4 linked regions of the Arabidopsis thaliana genome follow. The protein of the gene in region 3 purifies or fractionates together with the protein of the main gene of each other region. This does not show direct contact. Each region holds a gene or a part of one and is shown on either strand. Other genes may lie near its edges.

Region 1 (4,904 bases), 6.5 Mb from region 3:
CAAGGATATACTTGCGTGATTGATGTTTTTTTTTTGTTAAGCTTAGTAGTGACTTTTTGTTTGTCTTTCATTGGTTTGGGCACCAAATTGTTCTATTTAGAGTTTTAGATTGTAGGAAACTGTTCCATCAGTTATGTTTTGTTACTTACTTCCAAAAGGAAAAATTGCATTACAAATGTTAGTTACTTTTCCTCATGTAACCCAAATGTATCAAAAAAATTTGTAACCCAAATAAAATTCCAGATGCTTGAGAATAAGCCATTCTAGTTTTTTCATCCTGCTATATATGTTGTCAATGATATTTAATAAAGAAGGTCAGGATGGCCGAGTGGTCTAAGGCGCCAGACTCAAGTTCTGGTCTTCGTAAGAGGGCGTGGGTTCAAACCCCACTTCTGACATTAGTTTTTTGTTACAGTTTCTGCGTGAGCTTTTTGTATTTACATTTCCTTGGCTTGTGTCCTAAAAATGCAACGTGTCTTCAAACTTTGTTTTGTTTGTGTGCAAATTCTTGCGGCGTTTTACATTTGCATTACGAGGTGTCATTATTTAAAGAAATCAACCTCAGTCGACAAAATTCTATTATAATTGTTCCATATATCAAAAACTTGTCGAAAAAGTTAGCGCTGGAAGCCAAGTGAACATAACCAGGGTTCAAAATGATTACAAAGCTCAAAATTTAAGATAAACCCTAAAACCATACAGATTCTAAAGAGACCGAGACAAAGCAAAATCTGAGGTACTGGGAAGAGCGTAGAGTAGAAAACTTCTAAGCAGCAGTAGCAGCCTTTGGCTTCTTAGGCATACGGTAGCCACCAACGACACATGCATGGTCACGCTCAAATGGCTCAAGCGTCACTTGCTCAGCTGGTTTGAATTGCTCCTGTTGAAGCTTCTTCACTTCAGTCTGGAACACAGCTTCTGCTGGAACGGTGGAGTCGATACAGTTTGCCTGCAAAAATGAGACAATACATGTTCACTAATCTTTCTCTCTTGAGAGATCATGGATTAAATAAATGTTTCGATTGCTACCCACCTTTATTGAGATCACAAAGTGTCCTCCTGACTTGAGGAAGTATGATGCATTCAAAGCCAAGATCCTAGCCTGCACGGTTTTAAATGGCACAGAAAATTTCATAAACAAAACAGTATAAAGTATACTAGAAGCAACCCACAAGCTGAATGGCATTTAGAAAACAAGTAGGTTTAACATCAGGAGAACCAAAACCGAGCAATAATAGACATTTAAATTTAGTATTGTTCTTAAAAACGAAATTGTAAAACAAGTACATAGTAAAATAAGATTAAGCTTAACAAAAACAAAAACAAGAATTTTCAGTACATCAGAAACTTGGAGATTGCATCACCCATAATGATCTGAAGGGGAATCCAAGTAAGATCATCATTTGCAATTATCAAAACACCATTTTAAAGCAAAGGACACATATAATGGTATTGGGTCAAGCTTTTTGAGGCAAATATTTAGACATTCATTGTGAGTTAAACAAAAGAAGCAAACCTGATCTGGCTGAGCAACATCAGAGAAGATAACATCAACCATGCCTACAAGCATTCTGTATTTAGCTGGGTGTCTAGCATCCTCGATGATTGGAATAACATTGGTTCTCTTCTTTGCCATGTTCACCAAATCTCTACCACTTCTATGAGAAAACTCAACCGCGTACACACACCCCTCCTATCAGATCACAAAGGCAATATATAAGAAACTCCAATACACGTCTAAAACCTGATAATCACAACATAAAGGACGGGTTCTGCTTACAGGGCCAACAAGATCAGACACATGAGAGACTGTGGTTCCAGAAGCAGCACCAAGGTATAGAACTTTAGCACCAGGTTTCTACATTGAAACGGGAACAACAATCAATATATGAACCAAGTCTCGCAAACAACAACAATAAGATTCACACAAGCTGATGCTTACAATCCAGATGTTATCAACACCACCAAGAATAGCAGCAGCCAACTTCGAACGGAAAGGATTCCAAACTCTGTATTCAGTCTTGGTTCCATCTTCGTTCTGCAGATTCAATCACAAGAACCATTAAAAACAAATTCATCAAAAGGAGTGCAAATACAAACCATCAATCAATTAATCAATCCTCTATAATACCTGAACAGAGATTCTCTTCTCGTTGTAGACAGCTTCACCAGGAACCAAATTCTTGGTAACAAGGGCATCTTCTTTACCCTTTGCAATGAACACTCCTGCGTGTCTGTGAGGTTCCACAATCACTTTGCTTCCTCCTTTCATGCCTCCACGGCCAGCTGGTCCTCTGCCGCCGCGAGCACCACCACGTGGTGGTCCTCTTCCTCTGCCGCGACCACCACGGTCGCTGAAACCTCTTCCTCCTCCTCTACCACCGCCACCTCGACCACCACTGAATCCACCGTCACCTCTACCACCACTGTATCCACCACGCCCTCTTCCACCACTGAACCCACCACCACTTCCTGAACACAAAAGACCATTCATTAGAGACTCCATGTTTAACATAAAACCCAACCATCAACTCTATATCCGATAGAACTAACGCAGACCCAATACAGTTCTAAGCAAAAAAGAACAAAGTTGACAATCAGTTCAGCTAAAGACATAAAGTTTTAAAGACTAAACGAGCTAAGAGTGTCACTCGCCATTGTTAATCTGATAAGCAAGCAATGAAGAAAAGAGAAGAGGCGGCTAGGGTTCTTACCAGTTAGAGGAGGTCTCATCTTTGCGTTAAGACTCTAAAGAATGCGAAAATCAAGGAGAAAAGCTTTTGATGAGAGAGAGAATGGCGATGGCGATGAAGCTGCGCTCGCAAGTGTTTTTATACATGTGTTTCAAGCTAGGGTTTTAACAGGGTTTTAATTTAACTCGCCTTATTTATTATTATTTACGTTTTAATCCTTATATTATGTATACATATCTTTTTCTGCTGTCAACTATTTAGAATTAACATTTTGCCCCTCGTAGTTAAAGCTTTATGAAATTCTATCATCACACACACTAACGTGTTACAGCAACAACAAAATTGTGTGTAAATATATTAATCGTCTTACCATTGTAAATTGTAATACACAACATTTAATCGTTACCATCATTTCTCTACACATAAGAAAACAAATACCCAAAAACCAGAAAATTCTAGTTCCAGAGCGAACATGTCTCTTACAATGAAACTGGGCTGCTAAATATGTGGGCTTTAGTTATAGTGGTGTGGGCCATAATAATTTTCATAAATAGTTTATGGTAAAAGCCCACATAATTAGTTTATACGAGGTCCACTCTAACATTACAAGTTCTCATAAATAATTTTCTTCTGTAGTCTGTTTATACAAGGTCCAATATAACATACAAAAATCACTTATGATAAAAACTTATTTATAAATATTGATTTTAAAGCAAATTTTAAACTTTATTATACTCAAACCTATCTTTACTTTAGTCTACCGAAGTGGAGACTCATGTTAACTCGAAAATACAAAATGATTAGTGAGTTAACATGTTCACATACAATGAAAAGGAAATCATATGTAGACACAGTGTTAAAACACTAATTCTAGATAAACATATCACAATCAATGAATGAGTTAGTGAGATGAGATTATTAGTGAATATGTTACACACGGAATGGATAAATTAGAATGAAAGAAATAAATGTGAGAGAATGGAGAGGGAAGTGTGCATGTGGGATGTTGGGGAAAATAGGTCCCATTACCCATCCTTTTTTCTTTTTGAGTCTCTCCCTACCAATCATTATAACTTTTCTCAACTTATACATTCTGAACTATTTATTTCTATTTGTCAAATTAATGGTTATGCTTTAATACATTTATATCCCAATTGGCATATACATGTTGTAGAGTAGCTAGCTATGTCATAGGCTTGAAAATGTTTTTGTTTATAGGAATGAAGATTCCCATTGATTATTCCACTTATTTGGCACTTTTTATCATGTTCAATGTCTACTAGATAAGCATGTGGCTACTAGTGGATGGCCACCTTTGGGGGTAAAATTTTGTTAGTAATATACCATTTCTAGTTATATTTTTAATATGTATACCTATGGACATATCCATTTTGTATCTATCCACACGTTGCAAGACTTACATTAGTTACATAATTCGAATATATAATAATTTCGATCTGTAGAGGTGTGGAAAAGTGAAGCCTTGTTTAGTTGACTTGTTGATTAACTGAATTAGATATCTAAGCTCGTATATATGATTTCATTATGTTATAACGCATAGTTGATTAAACTTACTAGATTACTATCAATAACTGATTTCCGTTTTAAACTTAGGTTTACAATAGATCTATATACGTAGATGAAATTTTCGAGCATAGTAAGAAGAATTTACAATCTAAGTTTAAAGTCATACATTGTTTGATCTATATCTCTATCTATAATATATAAAATTATATTAAAAAGGAGAAAATGTGCTGAAAAGTTTGTATGATGAAAATGAATAAATCATTGTTTTAAATTGAAGTTAAATTTACGTAAATGTGTGCCGCTATTCCACATAATTGTAAAAGGCAATCTTAAAAAGTAATTTTCAAAGTCAAGGTAAAAGAGTAGATATTTAATTTATAGTTCGTCAAGTAAAGATAAATCCTCCTATTTTAGTAGTCACATGTTTTATTGCTAGGGCTGCTGCTTTATTTGTCATATTACTTGCGATCGAGACAATAGAGTAGAGACGACGATGTATGTCCACCAAAACAAATCGATTTTCATGAAATATTATCAACTATTCTTTATTATTTTTTTGGGTATGAATGTTAAGTAACTATTATTTATTTTTTCAAACCAGATCCTAACAATCTACATAAAGAGCTAAACCACCATGTGCATAATGAGCTAACACACTTTGCAATGACAATATGTGATAGGACG
Region 2 (4,787 bases), on a different chromosome or scaffold from region 3:
TTCACAACCACATTGTCGAACTTTGTTTATATTCCCTTATCATAATCAGTCTTACTATTAGCATAATCAACTGTTTATGTACTGATGTCTTCTAATTAGAAAACTTAAAAAGGTAAAGAAAAAATAGAAAAAGAAAGAGCTCAGTTAAGAGGCCATATCACCAGATAAACTGGAGAAATGCAAAGGACCCAACCTTTACAGAAACCGATTTCATCACAGCTCTATTGCACCAGCCGGGAATCGAACCCGGGTCTGTACCGTGGCAGAGTACTATTCTACCACTAGACCACTGGTGCTACTTGTTTAAATGTTACTTCTTCAGTTATTTATACATAAACTCTCATAGTTCATATTTAATGAGAACATTTTGTATAATCTAATGTGGCAGGGATCTATTCTACCACTGACGCTATTTTAAGTGTTCAATGAAACCAAAAACTACTATTACCAACACACACCTTGATTGGCACAATGTAAGGAATGGCGTCAGTGTTCTAGTGGTAGAATAGTAAAACCAAATTAAACCGAAGCAGATTTCCAAAATTGGTTCAGCTAGGAATTTTGTTATGAATCAGAACTCAGAAGGCTAATGAAAATCCAAATTGAACAACAACCGTATAAATAAATATGTCAATGTTGTTTGTTGGTAATTTATCAATAGGAGGAGAAACATTGATAGACAGACAATTCAAAATTGAACTAAACCAGAACTCAAAAGTCGGTTATAGCTTCACATTTAGCTTCCAATATCTTCACAGCTTCAGTGAAGAGAACCTCTGGAGGCAGTGATCCGGTGGACTCAATGTTAACTGAGAAAAAAGACGACAAGAAACTCAATTACGATATCTTTCAGATCATGAGTAGCAGAGTAAAAGGAATGGGTTTTATTTTTCTCTTCTTACATATAAAATGGTTCTTAACACTGCCAAGATCCACATGGTCTACCAAATCATCGTCTCTTACGCATTCCTTACACAATGTGCACTTACGTGGCTGCGCTACTGTTGCCCTTTTCTTACCTGTTTTCCACAAGTCAGTATGAAATCAAATTTAAGTAAGTCATGCAGCCAAGTTCATCAGCTTGCATAAGATTTTATACTTCACCTTTTCCCATGTCTTCAATGTCGAAAACATTCTGTGGGCAGACGTTTACAAGTCGTTCAGCAAGTTCATCCTCAACTTCCCCACGTAGAACCACCTAAGATAGTATAAACAAAAGCATTACGAAACATATATATTGGGATGAGGAAAGACAAAACAAAGAGCTGTTTCCCATAAAGCATATGATAGATTGATGTATATACTTCTCACCTCAGGATGCATTCTATACCAAGCAGTCCCTACTGGAGACCACTTTGCATGTGTTTTACCAATGCCCTTAACCGCATGAGCTTCGAGCTCGATTTCCTGGGAAAAAAGAGATAAAAGAAGATGCACATGTTTCATCTCTCATTGCAAGTATGGTCTGCTTGGGTGTATATAAAAAGAATGTACAGAAACACTACCTGACCAGGGGCGAGTTTTGCTATCAAGATATCGAGGTCGCATGGAGTGATAGGATTATTAGCAAATTCAGGTAATGAATCTTGGCTGCAACTGAATGAAGTGTAAGTTTTTGGCTTTGAGGTTTTATTTTCCGATTCTCTCAGAAGCTCACTTCCATTTGGTAACCATTTTAAATCACTCGTTAAAACTACAAGAAAACGAAATGATATCTTTCATGAGAGATGGAGCTGATAATAAAACAAGAAATCTTCTGATGCTAACTAATGAACATATATTACCTTTAAGACGTGGTCTATTTTTCGGACATTTCACATGGAGTTTGAATACAATGGTGTTCTTTTCATTCGCCTGATCATGTTCTATCATACACAGATAAAGAAGTAAGCTAATCAGAAGAATTATCATCATATGTAGATGGATCACATACCACTGAAATATATGCTTACCGGATAAATATTCAAAAAGTCTTGGATCTGCGGCAATTGGAATAAGACCCATCCTGTGAGCAAGAACTTCGTCTATAATAACCGATGTGTTGTACGCTATCAACACTTTTTCAATAGCCATTGAAGGAACCTGCAATAAAGAAAGAAGCACTTTAAGCCAAAGATTACAACAATGAGGGATTCATCAGAGGTTGTATGAAAACTTGACAGACCTCAGCTATAAGGATCCTTCGGAATGCATTGGCAAACGCTGCATCAATACCAATCATATCAAATTCCATATCTGTCTTTGTGAGACTAACCACATCAACTTTGAAGTTATCATAGAAGTTTCCTAGCTTCACATTGTCGTCCTCTTCCGTAGAAGAAACATAGGTACCCGAGTAAATGGCACTCGCAGTCTACAGAAAACACAAACACAAGATTAAAGACTTCAAATTTCAAACAATCACTACTCAATATCATCTTGAATTTGAAAACAAAAGGTGTATTCTGGTAAAACACTTAAGAGCCAAACTCGTAAATTCACAGCTTTTCACAGGAAAAAACAAAACTTTTACTCTGTATCATGAACACAGCAACGATAGAACTCAAACCCACATGGGATCATTGAGAAAAGCTATAAAATTTGTAATTAGATAAGCTTATAACCAACAAAACAGAGCATAAAAGATTGTAACTTTGAACGAGAATAGTTCTTACATGAGCAGGAGCGTTGTTTTTAGAGACGACACGAGTTTGCTGGGCTTTGAGATGTGGAGGAAGTCCGGCAGGGACGTCAGGGAGATCGTCTATGTTGAAATTTTTGGCGAATTGTTTTTCTGCTTTAGTCACCATCCTTGTCTAGGTCTATAGCAGAACTAGGGTTTATCAAATTGAGAAAGAGAATTGAAGGGTTTAACAAAGGAAACCACAGGGGGTGAGGAAAGTAGTATTGGGTCAAAGAGTGAAGTCGAAGAAGCTTACCTGTGGCCGAGAGAATTGAGCAATTTAGAGAGAAAGAGAGAGTAGGAGGCGGCGGCGAGGAGATGAAGAACAAACGGTGAAGGGTTTTGAAAAAGCCGCCGGTTTTATTTAATCCCTTAACTCTTTCCGGTTCGAATTAAAACGCATTATTACCAAAAGAAACAATAAAAAATTCATTTCAAAAGAATACTTCTTCTTTTTTTACATTTCAAAAGAATACTGTTTAACACTAAAAATAAAGCCATTACTTTAAAAAATAAAAATTTATTCCACAAGATGAATACTTTCTTTTGCTCATGATTTTGTTTTATAGCAAAAAACAATAATAAGAATTTATTCTTTTTCGGTGAATTGTTTAATTTAAAAAAAAAAAAAAAACTTTTCTGCAATCAATTCGCAGCATATTGGTTAAGCTAAGAATATAAACTAAAAACATATGTAAACAACAATTCTAGGAATGACTCCTTTTGTTTTTGGCATCTACTGTGAATGATAGGCTTTTTTGAACTCTAATTAATATTGGTCAAAAAAAAAATGTCGATGGGACTCTTCTACGTTAGTATCTAAGAATGTGGCAATAGCACTACTTAATTTAGAGCAAAATAATAGAAGAAAACACGACACTTACTTCATCAAATTTTTGTTGGGCAATGAGAATGTTGTCTATAATAAAGTTTCCGGCTACAAAACACATATTTGTATCTCGGATATCAAATACAGAAGAAGAAAAAAAAACTTTGAGGTGCAGGCTTAGAATCTTTGAGATCATCTTATGTATAACATTACAAAGGCTAATACAGTAGGTCGGAATCTTGACATTTCCTAGAGTTCTATCTCCTTCGGGAATTAGGTAAATATTGGAGCATCAATGCGATGAGCAAGTCATGACCAAATACTACAACAGTTACAAGTTACATTCCTTTGCGTAGCAATCAATCAGCAAATGGTATATTGGTAATTTACTGACACTCTGCTAATAGAAGGAAGAGCTCTTCATCGGTTATGGCTCCCATCTCCATTGCCCTTTCCAACACACTTAATCCTCCACCATCCTCTATTGATGGACGAGCACCTCTGTCAAATTCAAAGAAGAGAGACACTAAGTATCTACTCAAAGTGCCCCTCATGAGATTTATTAGTTAGTGTGTTACCTTCTCAGCAAAACCTTTGCAAATGCGTTGTTCCCTGATGCGATGCAATGGTGTAATGGAGTTCGTCCGTGGTAATCTCTCATGTTTATGTCAGCCCCGAACTGCAACAGCAGTTCAAGCAAGATTGGGTCACCGCTTTGACACGCCACATGCAACAATGAGCAGCCTTGAAGACAGTTTCTTGCTTCGTTCGAATTCTTGATTCTCTGACACGCATTTGGATCGTGCCTTTTCTTTACTTCATCTGGTGCATCAACATGGTGGTGGTGATATACATCAAGGTCAGTAATATCATCGAACTTGGTATTGATGATATTTGCATCTGCTTTTACAATGAGTCGGTAGATGTCTCTTATGTTCCTGCTTTGAACCGCTTCCCATATTCTACTTGAGGCAGTAGAATTTGCTTCTCTTTCATCTTTGACAACTAGTGCTTTCTCCAGGTACTAGCTAGGCATAAACATTATCAGCTTTAGTATCATAAGCCTTTTCTATTCACAAGAATATGCTCATTTGGATGATGCGTCAAGTGACATGAATCTGAGGTCTATGTATGCGAAAACTTTAAGAACTAAATCTCATACCTTTCCGTTAATATATTTCTCCTTCAGAGTAAACCAATCTTCTGAAGATGGTTTCGAAACTGATGCAAGTGTGTCTGTCGATCCCTTTTCACTGTAAATATTCAACAGAAGATAGGATCATAGGAAAGTAAAGA
Region 3 (3,604 bases):
ATATTACTCTTCTTATATATACCAGAGAGAGTTGTGTATATAAGCTAATTAAGTTGAAGTTGATGCATGGGTGATGAAGACAAGATCAGCATCAGCAGGGAGATGGGTGAATGAGCTTGTGAGCTTTGATGTGTTTTGTCTCTTAGACATCGTCGATTGGAAACCTTTCTATTGCTTGTCCCACAGGAAACTCACCACCACTAATAGTGGGAACATCTTCGTATCTCATAATAATAATGGTGAATCCAAGATTTCTTTAATAACTTAAGTATTCATTTTTACCTTTTGGTTTATGGCATACCCTTTAATTATTTACAAGACCAACCGTTAGAGGATGCCACAATGGTATTTTCTGCCAATTTAAGTCGAAACAAATTTTATTAAGAACGACAAGAAACCTAAGACTTCATTATTTTCCCAAGGGCATAGAATAGATAGATAATAATCTAAAGCAGTTTTTTTATATGATACAAAAGATAAGCAGAACAAAAGGCTAAAATGATAAGCAAGCAGAACTCAAACTCTTGATTATTTTGTTTTCACCGGTGCCTGCTGCGTTTAGATGGTGGCATGTTCTTCATGCTGCTACTACCGCCTGCACCGCTACTTCCAGGACGCGATTTCCCAAACGCTTTCATCTTCCTTCTCTTCCTCTCTTCCTCACTATCAGACTCAACTCCATGCTCTCTGTCTGCATTAGTAGCTTCTCTCTCCAGCTCAGCCCAAGTCTTACCTTTCTCTTCCTCTGACTCTTGCTCTGAGTCCTCTTCTTCTTCTTCATCGTCTGACTCACTCTCTGATGTCTCGTCCTCTGACTCAGACTCAACCTCCACATCTGATGGTTCATACCCTTTGTCTGAGTCCTCAGAGCCGCCAGACTCTGAATCGCTTCCGTCCTGATTCAAAAACTCCCATCCTCCAGCATCTGTAAAGCTCTGCGGATCATCCGTGATCGTCTTCAGGATCTGTCTCCAGTTCAGATTCAGTTTGCTCTCGTAGTACTTTATATCTGTAGTGTCAAGCCATTCCTTTATCCCCTCTAACTAACTTGTTGGAACTGAGTCAACCCTAAGAACATCTTTCTTCAAGTCCTTGAAGATGATAGCCATGTCAAAGCTCTTTTGACCAAACCCAACTCTCTCAAGATTCACAATCTCAATCTCACTTAGACAGACCACCAAGAACGGGGATTCTGTCAGCTCAACTAAGCAGCTTGAGGTCGGTATTATGAAGGTAGATGTCTTGTGGGGGACACCATTGAAACCAAACTCTCTCAGAGGTTGATCAAACTCTAAGCTCAAACTTGCAAACTGGGGTAGTTGCCACATATCGTTGACCTGATTTGCAAAGTGATTGAAATCCATGTTGATCTTATTTTTCCTATCGCGCTCTCTCTGTTCTTCAACAATCTCATCTGCATCATAAGCTGATGATCTCCTCCTACCTCCTAAAGACTGCACAACATCCATTACCTCCACATAAAACTGTACGTCTTTTGTTTTCTTGGTTCCTACCATGATGTGGTTGTGGAGATGAAAATGTAAGAGGGTGGTCATCTCCTTCTCCGCCGGCTGAAAAAACGCATGCTTTATGTTTGCAAACAGGACATCAACGCGCTCGTTGGTCGTTGAATACCTAAAACCATTGACATGAGCTTCAAGTGTCCCACGATTCTTCTTGCGTCCACTAAAAGGCGGACGGATCCACAGATTGGACAAACTTAAGGGTTTTGAGTTGTTCCTTACAATCTGAAGTTTTTCTTGGTTCACCAGTGAAGTTCTCTCAGCTCTCTCTGACTCCCGTGCCATGACTTTCCGTCTGAGGCTCTTAACCTGTTGAACTACATCGCTGCTATGCCTTGAATCCTTGGTCCGGAATGAAACCTCCTTGAGGTAGATAGCGTCCTTGTTTTTCAAAGAGTCATTAGGGTTTAAGGGTGTACCCGGGACATTGAATATTACACGGATGGTGTTTTGATTGCCTAAGACTGTTCTTATTGTAGTCACGTTGAATGGAACCATCCTGCCGTATATTGGTAACAATACAGTGTCGCTCTTGTGATCAACCGTGATCATCAAATCCCTAGGTTGGGGTATGTCGTTAATATTCTTGTAGAGCTACATGTCACCAGCAAGCTGATCGAATACAACCACAGACCAAGAATCAAACTTCAAGTAATAAGCCTCTTTATAGAACTGAAAGAGAACAGAAGAAAAAAAAACGTAAGAAAGTAAACTTCAACGAGAACAAGTTATTTCGGATGCCTCTTCTAAGAAGAAAACAATCTCTATTTATAAGAAAACGTAAACACAAACATAAAGAGAAAAGGAAATAATAAAAAGGAAGAAATCTTTTTTATCATTAAAATCTGTTTCTATATAAATGTAGTTTAAGGGTTTTTATTTCTTTTTCAAATTGTTTTCAACTTTATATACAAATAATAAATATATTTAATACTTTTTAACCAATTGTATTTAATCATATATTTTTTATTGGTTGAATTGGTTATAATTAATGATATTTTTTATATAAAAAAGTAGATTAAATGAGATTTTTATGATTTCTTAATATGTGTGTAAATATCTTAAACTACAACTAATATAAAACAGAAGAAGTATTAAGTTATATATATATATATATATGTCATACTAATAAATCATGAGGAGATCTAGGGTTTAGAAACTGTAAATCATAACCTCTTCAAGAACATATGTAGCTCTCGATCGTTTTTCTTTCTTCATATCCTTCTTTCGTTTCCATCTGCGACCTCCTTCCCTAATCTGCAGTTCATATTATTGATGGTCGATGAAGAAAGGAGGAACATGATAGTACAAACTTGTCCATGCTCAGACGACGGCTAGGGTTTTGAATCAGAGAAAATTAAAAGAGAAATTTTGTTGTTGTGATTACTTTTTTTTTTTGGGTATGATCTTTAATTTTATTTTATTCTTATGAAAATTAAATTCTCAATAGGATTAATAAAATTAGCATTAGTATGTCACAAAAAGGGTATATCTTCATGTTAAAGGTTTTGGCTAGAATTACGGTTTGAATGATATGAAAATTCAATCACATGCAAAAGACTATGGAAGTTAAACAATAAAACTGTTTACATAGCCTCAAATCATTCACATACAAAGACTTTGAAAGCTAAAACATAAAGCTTAACAGTACTGAATCTTAAAGTCGCCATAAGTTTCACACATGCTATGATCAAATACATATATCAAATAAAATAGGAAAACTCAAAGCTAGCTTCACTTACCTTTACCATCATCCATTTGCTTATCATTTCATCACATCTAAGATGTCCTTAGACGGTGGCTCGATCCAGACTCCTAAGAGGGCAAAGTTCTTTCTGCATTTGCCATATTGTTGGTTTTGGAAGCTGCTTACGCGGATAGTACCTGGCTTCATCAAACGAGTAGGATACACATCCCTTGCAATCTAAACCATACTTTGGGAAGTACACACTGTTCCTCATCCCAAGAACATCCAATCTCGTCTCCGAGGAATACATACTTGCAAAGATTGTCACGCCGTCAAGAGTAGTACTATTTATCTCCTCCCAATTTGAGGAGACAAGTTTATACACCATCGGTAT
Region 4 (3,804 bases), on a different chromosome or scaffold from region 3:
GGATACACTGGCATATCCGCGTCATTCGTTGAGCCGTGCAGCATTGATAACAAGTGGTAGTCCGATATTTTTCCTAGATGCATATACCACTTTGATAGTCTTCTACTCATCAACAGCAGACCCGTCAATACCTTTCCCTCCACCTCAAGACTGTAAGTTTTCTCACCAAATGAAATCCAGTTCAACCACCTTTAGATCTTTGAGACTATGTTGATTCGAAAACTTATATCTTACAGGTTTATTGAGGCAGACCATAAATAAAGTGAAGCAAGAAAGGAGCATCACACCAAAACTAGTGTTTATCCGAGGAGGACGAGACGATGCTACTGTCTTTGAGAACTATCTTATAGAAGAACAAGATGTGGACGGTAATGGTTTTGCTAGCGCCATGGGTTTCGTGTCTTTCCTCGATGATATTTCGCAGCGTGTCACTGAATACATGAAGTGAAAGCCAAATGACCCTCTAGTTTATTATACATCCAAACTCAAAATTTTCAACTGTGTCAGAGTTTTACTCTTCTTGTTGTAACATTTGCTTTAGACTAGCATCCCAACTTTTTTGCTCTCTTAATCAAAATGAATAATTAAGCTAAAATTTTGTTGCAAAACTTCATTTTCTAAACTTTGACTTACATATTTGGTAACACTAGAGCCAAAGAGCAAAAAGATATGTTAGTCTATTACATGCTCATGGCCACAACCACTGCTTCAAGCTTACAAGCTAATCTCCAACATAAACCTGAAAACATGTTCTTAGCAAAAATATAACCTTGAGTTCATTCATCTTCTTCATCACTCTCTACCTCTTCACCACTTCCACTTACGCTCCCGTCCTCGTTCTCATTATCTTCACCAACCCCGCTCCCATTTTCTTCCATGCTATGGTCCTCATTCCCGCTCTCTTCGCTCTCATTCCCATTCTCTTCCATGCTGTTTTCCTCATCCTCCTTCTCGTTCTCCTCATCATTCCCATTCTCTTCCGTATTTTCATCGTCGTTCTCCTCATCATTCCCATTCTCTTCTGTATTTTCATCGTCATTCTCATCTTCCTCATCGTTTCCATTCTCATCCTCCTCATCGTTTCCATTCTCTTCTTCCGTGTTGTCATTCTCAGTCTCCTCGTCATTCCTCTTAGTTTCCTCATCTATTTTGCTTTTCCTTGCACCCTTTTGCGTAGATGGTTCTTCCTGTTTCCTCTTCTTCGTCTCTTTGGGCTTCGAAGCAGTTCCACTTGAAGATTTCAAAGCAGCTCCACCAGCAGGATACGAAGCAGCTGCAGCACCCGCCTTTTTCCCCGCATTCTTCTTCTTAAAATCTGAAAACCAGTCATGTGGATTACACTAGGATTGACATCATAAGCTCAAAGTGCACACACCTAGGCCAGTGTCCATAACAAGACAAATCACAACCTAAGCCATTTCTACTAACACTCCATGAAAGTAACAACAGATAGTGACAATAGGATCTTCATCCGAACAAAACACTTACCTTCAAGAGAAGATTTAAGCGGCTCCAAAAATTCTGAAAAATCCATTTCTTCTAATGCCTTAAACACATCATCAGCCTTCATAGTTTGTCTTCTTGCATCTTTACAAAAATCATTTGCCCTATATCATTCACCCCCAAATTAAACTAAATCCATCAATTCGATCGATCACAATTCACAAACACTAACATTCATCAATTGAATCACATTAACATAAACCCAAACTTGGAACATTCCAAATCATTCACTATCATAGTGCAGAAATTCGAAAAAAAGTTAGGGTTTGTGAAGTGTACATACGTGGCGGAGAGGTAGTGGATGAAGATCCTCGCACTCTCTGAGAATGCGAGCAAAGCTTCCTTGTGAATACTGACGTCATAATCCGGCGAACACTCCGACAGCTTCTTCTTCACCACCCGGCGCACAATAGCTAGCGGCAGCTCGTCCACCACCACTTTCTCCGACTCCATTCTTCTCTCCTCTCTCTCAGTCGCCGTCTTTCCCGCCTTTATGTTAATAATACAACAAAACACATCGGCCCAGTAAGCTGATCAGCCTATTAAAATATTTAAAAGCCCATATTCAAGTTTATAAGCACTAAAGAGTTATGACCACGCCGCTCAATATTACCCGTTGGATTGATTGACAAAATCCTAGCCGTCAAATCGTACTAGCAAATCGGCCCATTATTCAAATTGATAAGCACTAAAGAGTTATGAGCACGTTGTCAATCTCACCGTTGGATAACCTTTATTAAATCTTCACCGTCCAATCGTAATACTAATAAATTCGATCAAAACACGAATAAGAATCGGAGTCGTCTTCAACCTCTGGAATTTGAGACATCTTCGAATAACCAGATTCTCCGAATTCGAGCCATTTCTAAGAATTTCATACTCTGATTAATGTCTTACTCAAACGCCTACGCACCGTCGGCACCGGAGCTACCAGAATCGTTCGTTCAGCAGCAGCACGATGGTGAAAGTAGATACACTTACGCGTATCCATCATATCAACCAACTCAGCAATTCAGCTCTTACTCCGGGATGTTTTCCCCGGAAACGCATCCGGAGATTGTGAGGAGCTTTGAGTCGGCGGATAGAAACCGGAGCGGATTTCTCGAAGAATCGGAGCTCCGGCAAGCGTTGTCGTTATCTGGGTACGATGGAATTAGTAACAGAACGATTAGGTTGCTGTTGTTTATTTACAAGATTCCTGTAGATTCTCTGCTTCGGCTTGGTAAATTCACTTATTGCAGCTTTTGAAATTGGCTTTTTGATTTCAAATATGAATGATGTTACAAAATAGCCATGTTTCTACCTTTTTATGTAGGTCCTAAGGAGTATGTTGAGTTATGGAACTGCCTTGCGCAATGGCGTGTAAGTGAACACTTATGTGGATCAATCTAGTTGAGGCAATGTGTGTATTCTTCTATGCCTTAAAAGTTAAAAATGGAGTGTTACTTTTCAATGTGTGTTCTTTTGTAGGCAATATTTAACAGGTACGATAGAGATAGGAGTGGAAAGATGAATTCTACCCAGCTCAGAGACGCTTTCTATAATCTCGGGTGCGTGCTTCCAACCTCGGTTCACCAGCTTATCGTATCTCAGTTTGATGATGGGACTGGCAAAACTGTTGACCTATGTTTCGACAGCTTCCTCGAGTAAGTTTTCTGTATGTTTTCATCGATTCTTGCGGTTCTTAATTTGTATACTAAGCATCATCGGTTTGTTTCCCTCATTTTGTTCTGCAGGTGTGGGATGATTGTGAAGGTATGATCTTTTAACCTCCATGAGAATTTCGACAATGTGTTTACATGAATCTAAACCACTTGAAATTGTTTAAAATGTGTCGTATGCTTATTAACAGGGATTGACAGAGAAGTTCAGGGAGAACGACCCTGGTTACACAGGCTACGCAACGCTCTCTTACGATGTCTTCATGTTGATGGTCATTCCGTTCATCGCCACCTATGATTAATGGTCACTTGCTACTTCTTTCTTTTTCTCAATCACAGATTCAAGTTGTATATAGATAATAGATGCCTGAGTACTGACTGAATAGGAGAGTGAATTCAAACTAGTGAATAGTGTAATAAGCTAATGCTGAAGAGAGCAAGAGAATAATAAATCAAAGCTTTAAGATTATAACAAGTTTTTTAGCAGTAACAGAAGTGAAATGTTAAGAGCCAATTTTGAGCTGTTTGCAAACAGATAATCCTAAAATCACTGAACCAAGGACCGAGAAGGCTCCTTGCCTTGAACGCCAAAACTCGATCCACGTCAATGGTCTTCTAATTTCAATCAAAACCTTCTCGA

The links.
Region 1: the proteins of GTC2 (region 3) and FIB2 fractionate together in Arabidopsis thaliana (co-fractionation; one large-scale study listed by BioGRID). This does not show direct contact.
Region 2: the proteins of GTC2 (region 3) and ATRPAC42 fractionate together in Arabidopsis thaliana (co-fractionation; one large-scale study listed by BioGRID). This does not show direct contact.
Region 4: the proteins of GTC2 (region 3) and NF-YB11 fractionate together in Arabidopsis thaliana (co-fractionation; one large-scale study listed by BioGRID). This does not show direct contact.

The regions. Positions count from the first base shown.
Region 1 is NC_003075.7:13,072,068-13,076,971, reverse strand, and holds FIB2 (fibrillarin 2), read right to left. Parts: upstream 2,883-4,904; 5' UTR 2,734-2,882; coding exon 2,715-2,733; intron 2,473-2,714; coding exon 2,132-2,472; intron 2,039-2,131; coding exon 1,943-2,038; intron 1,859-1,942; coding exon 1,781-1,858; intron 1,694-1,780; coding exon 1,517-1,693; intron 1,410-1,516; exon of another isoform or gene 1,337-1,409; intron 1,103-1,336; coding exon 1,034-1,102; intron 950-1,033; coding exon 767-949; 3' UTR 540-766; downstream 1-539. Other genes in the region: DTX35 (detoxifying efflux carrier 35), read left to right, coding at 1-15, 315-396. UniProt on the Arabidopsis thaliana protein: S-adenosyl-L-methionine-dependent methyltransferase that has the ability to methylate both RNAs and proteins. Involved in pre-rRNA processing.
Region 2 is NC_003070.9:22,397,367-22,402,153, forward strand, and holds ATRPAC42 (DNA-directed RNA polymerase family protein), read right to left. Parts: upstream 3,048-4,787; 5' UTR 2,919-3,047; exon of another isoform or gene 2,802-2,918; 5' UTR 2,790-2,801; coding exon 2,655-2,789; intron 2,354-2,654; coding exon 2,165-2,353; intron 2,083-2,164; coding exon 1,953-2,082; intron 1,866-1,952; coding exon 1,785-1,865; intron 1,694-1,784; coding exon 1,506-1,693; intron 1,408-1,505; coding exon 1,312-1,407; coding exon of another isoform or gene 1,222-1,311; exon of another isoform or gene 1,199-1,221; coding exon 1,105-1,198; intron 1,020-1,104; coding exon 903-1,019; intron 810-902; coding exon 712-809; 3' UTR 547-711; downstream 1-546. Other genes in the region: AGD2 (ARF-GAP domain 2), read right to left, coding at 3,878-3,992, 4,070-4,515, 4,654-4,744.
Region 3 is NC_003075.7:6,583,198-6,586,801, reverse strand, and holds GTC2 (GTC2), read right to left. Parts: upstream 2,076-3,604; coding exon 1,044-2,075; 3' UTR 540-1,043; downstream 1-539. Other genes in the region: AT4G10660 (CDC68-like protein), read right to left, coding at 3,314-3,604.
Region 4 is NC_003071.7:11,744,420-11,748,223, forward strand, and holds NF-YB11 (nuclear factor Y, subunit B11), read right to left. Parts: upstream 2,037-3,804; 5' UTR 1,957-2,036; coding exon 1,787-1,956; intron 1,768-1,786; exon of another isoform or gene 1,608-1,767; coding exon 1,489-1,607; intron 1,316-1,488; coding exon 777-1,315; 3' UTR 562-776; downstream 1-561. Other genes in the region: AT2G27460 (sec23/sec24 transport family protein), read left to right, coding at 1-152, 237-448; AT2G27480 (Calcium-binding EF-hand family protein), read left to right, coding at 2,392-2,725, 2,819-2,865, 2,974-3,149, 3,240-3,258, 3,356-3,466; ATCOAE (dephospho-CoA kinase family), read right to left, coding at 3,668-3,804. UniProt on the Arabidopsis thaliana protein: Component of the NF-Y/HAP transcription factor complex. The NF-Y complex stimulates the transcription of various genes by recognizing and binding to a CCAAT motif in promoters.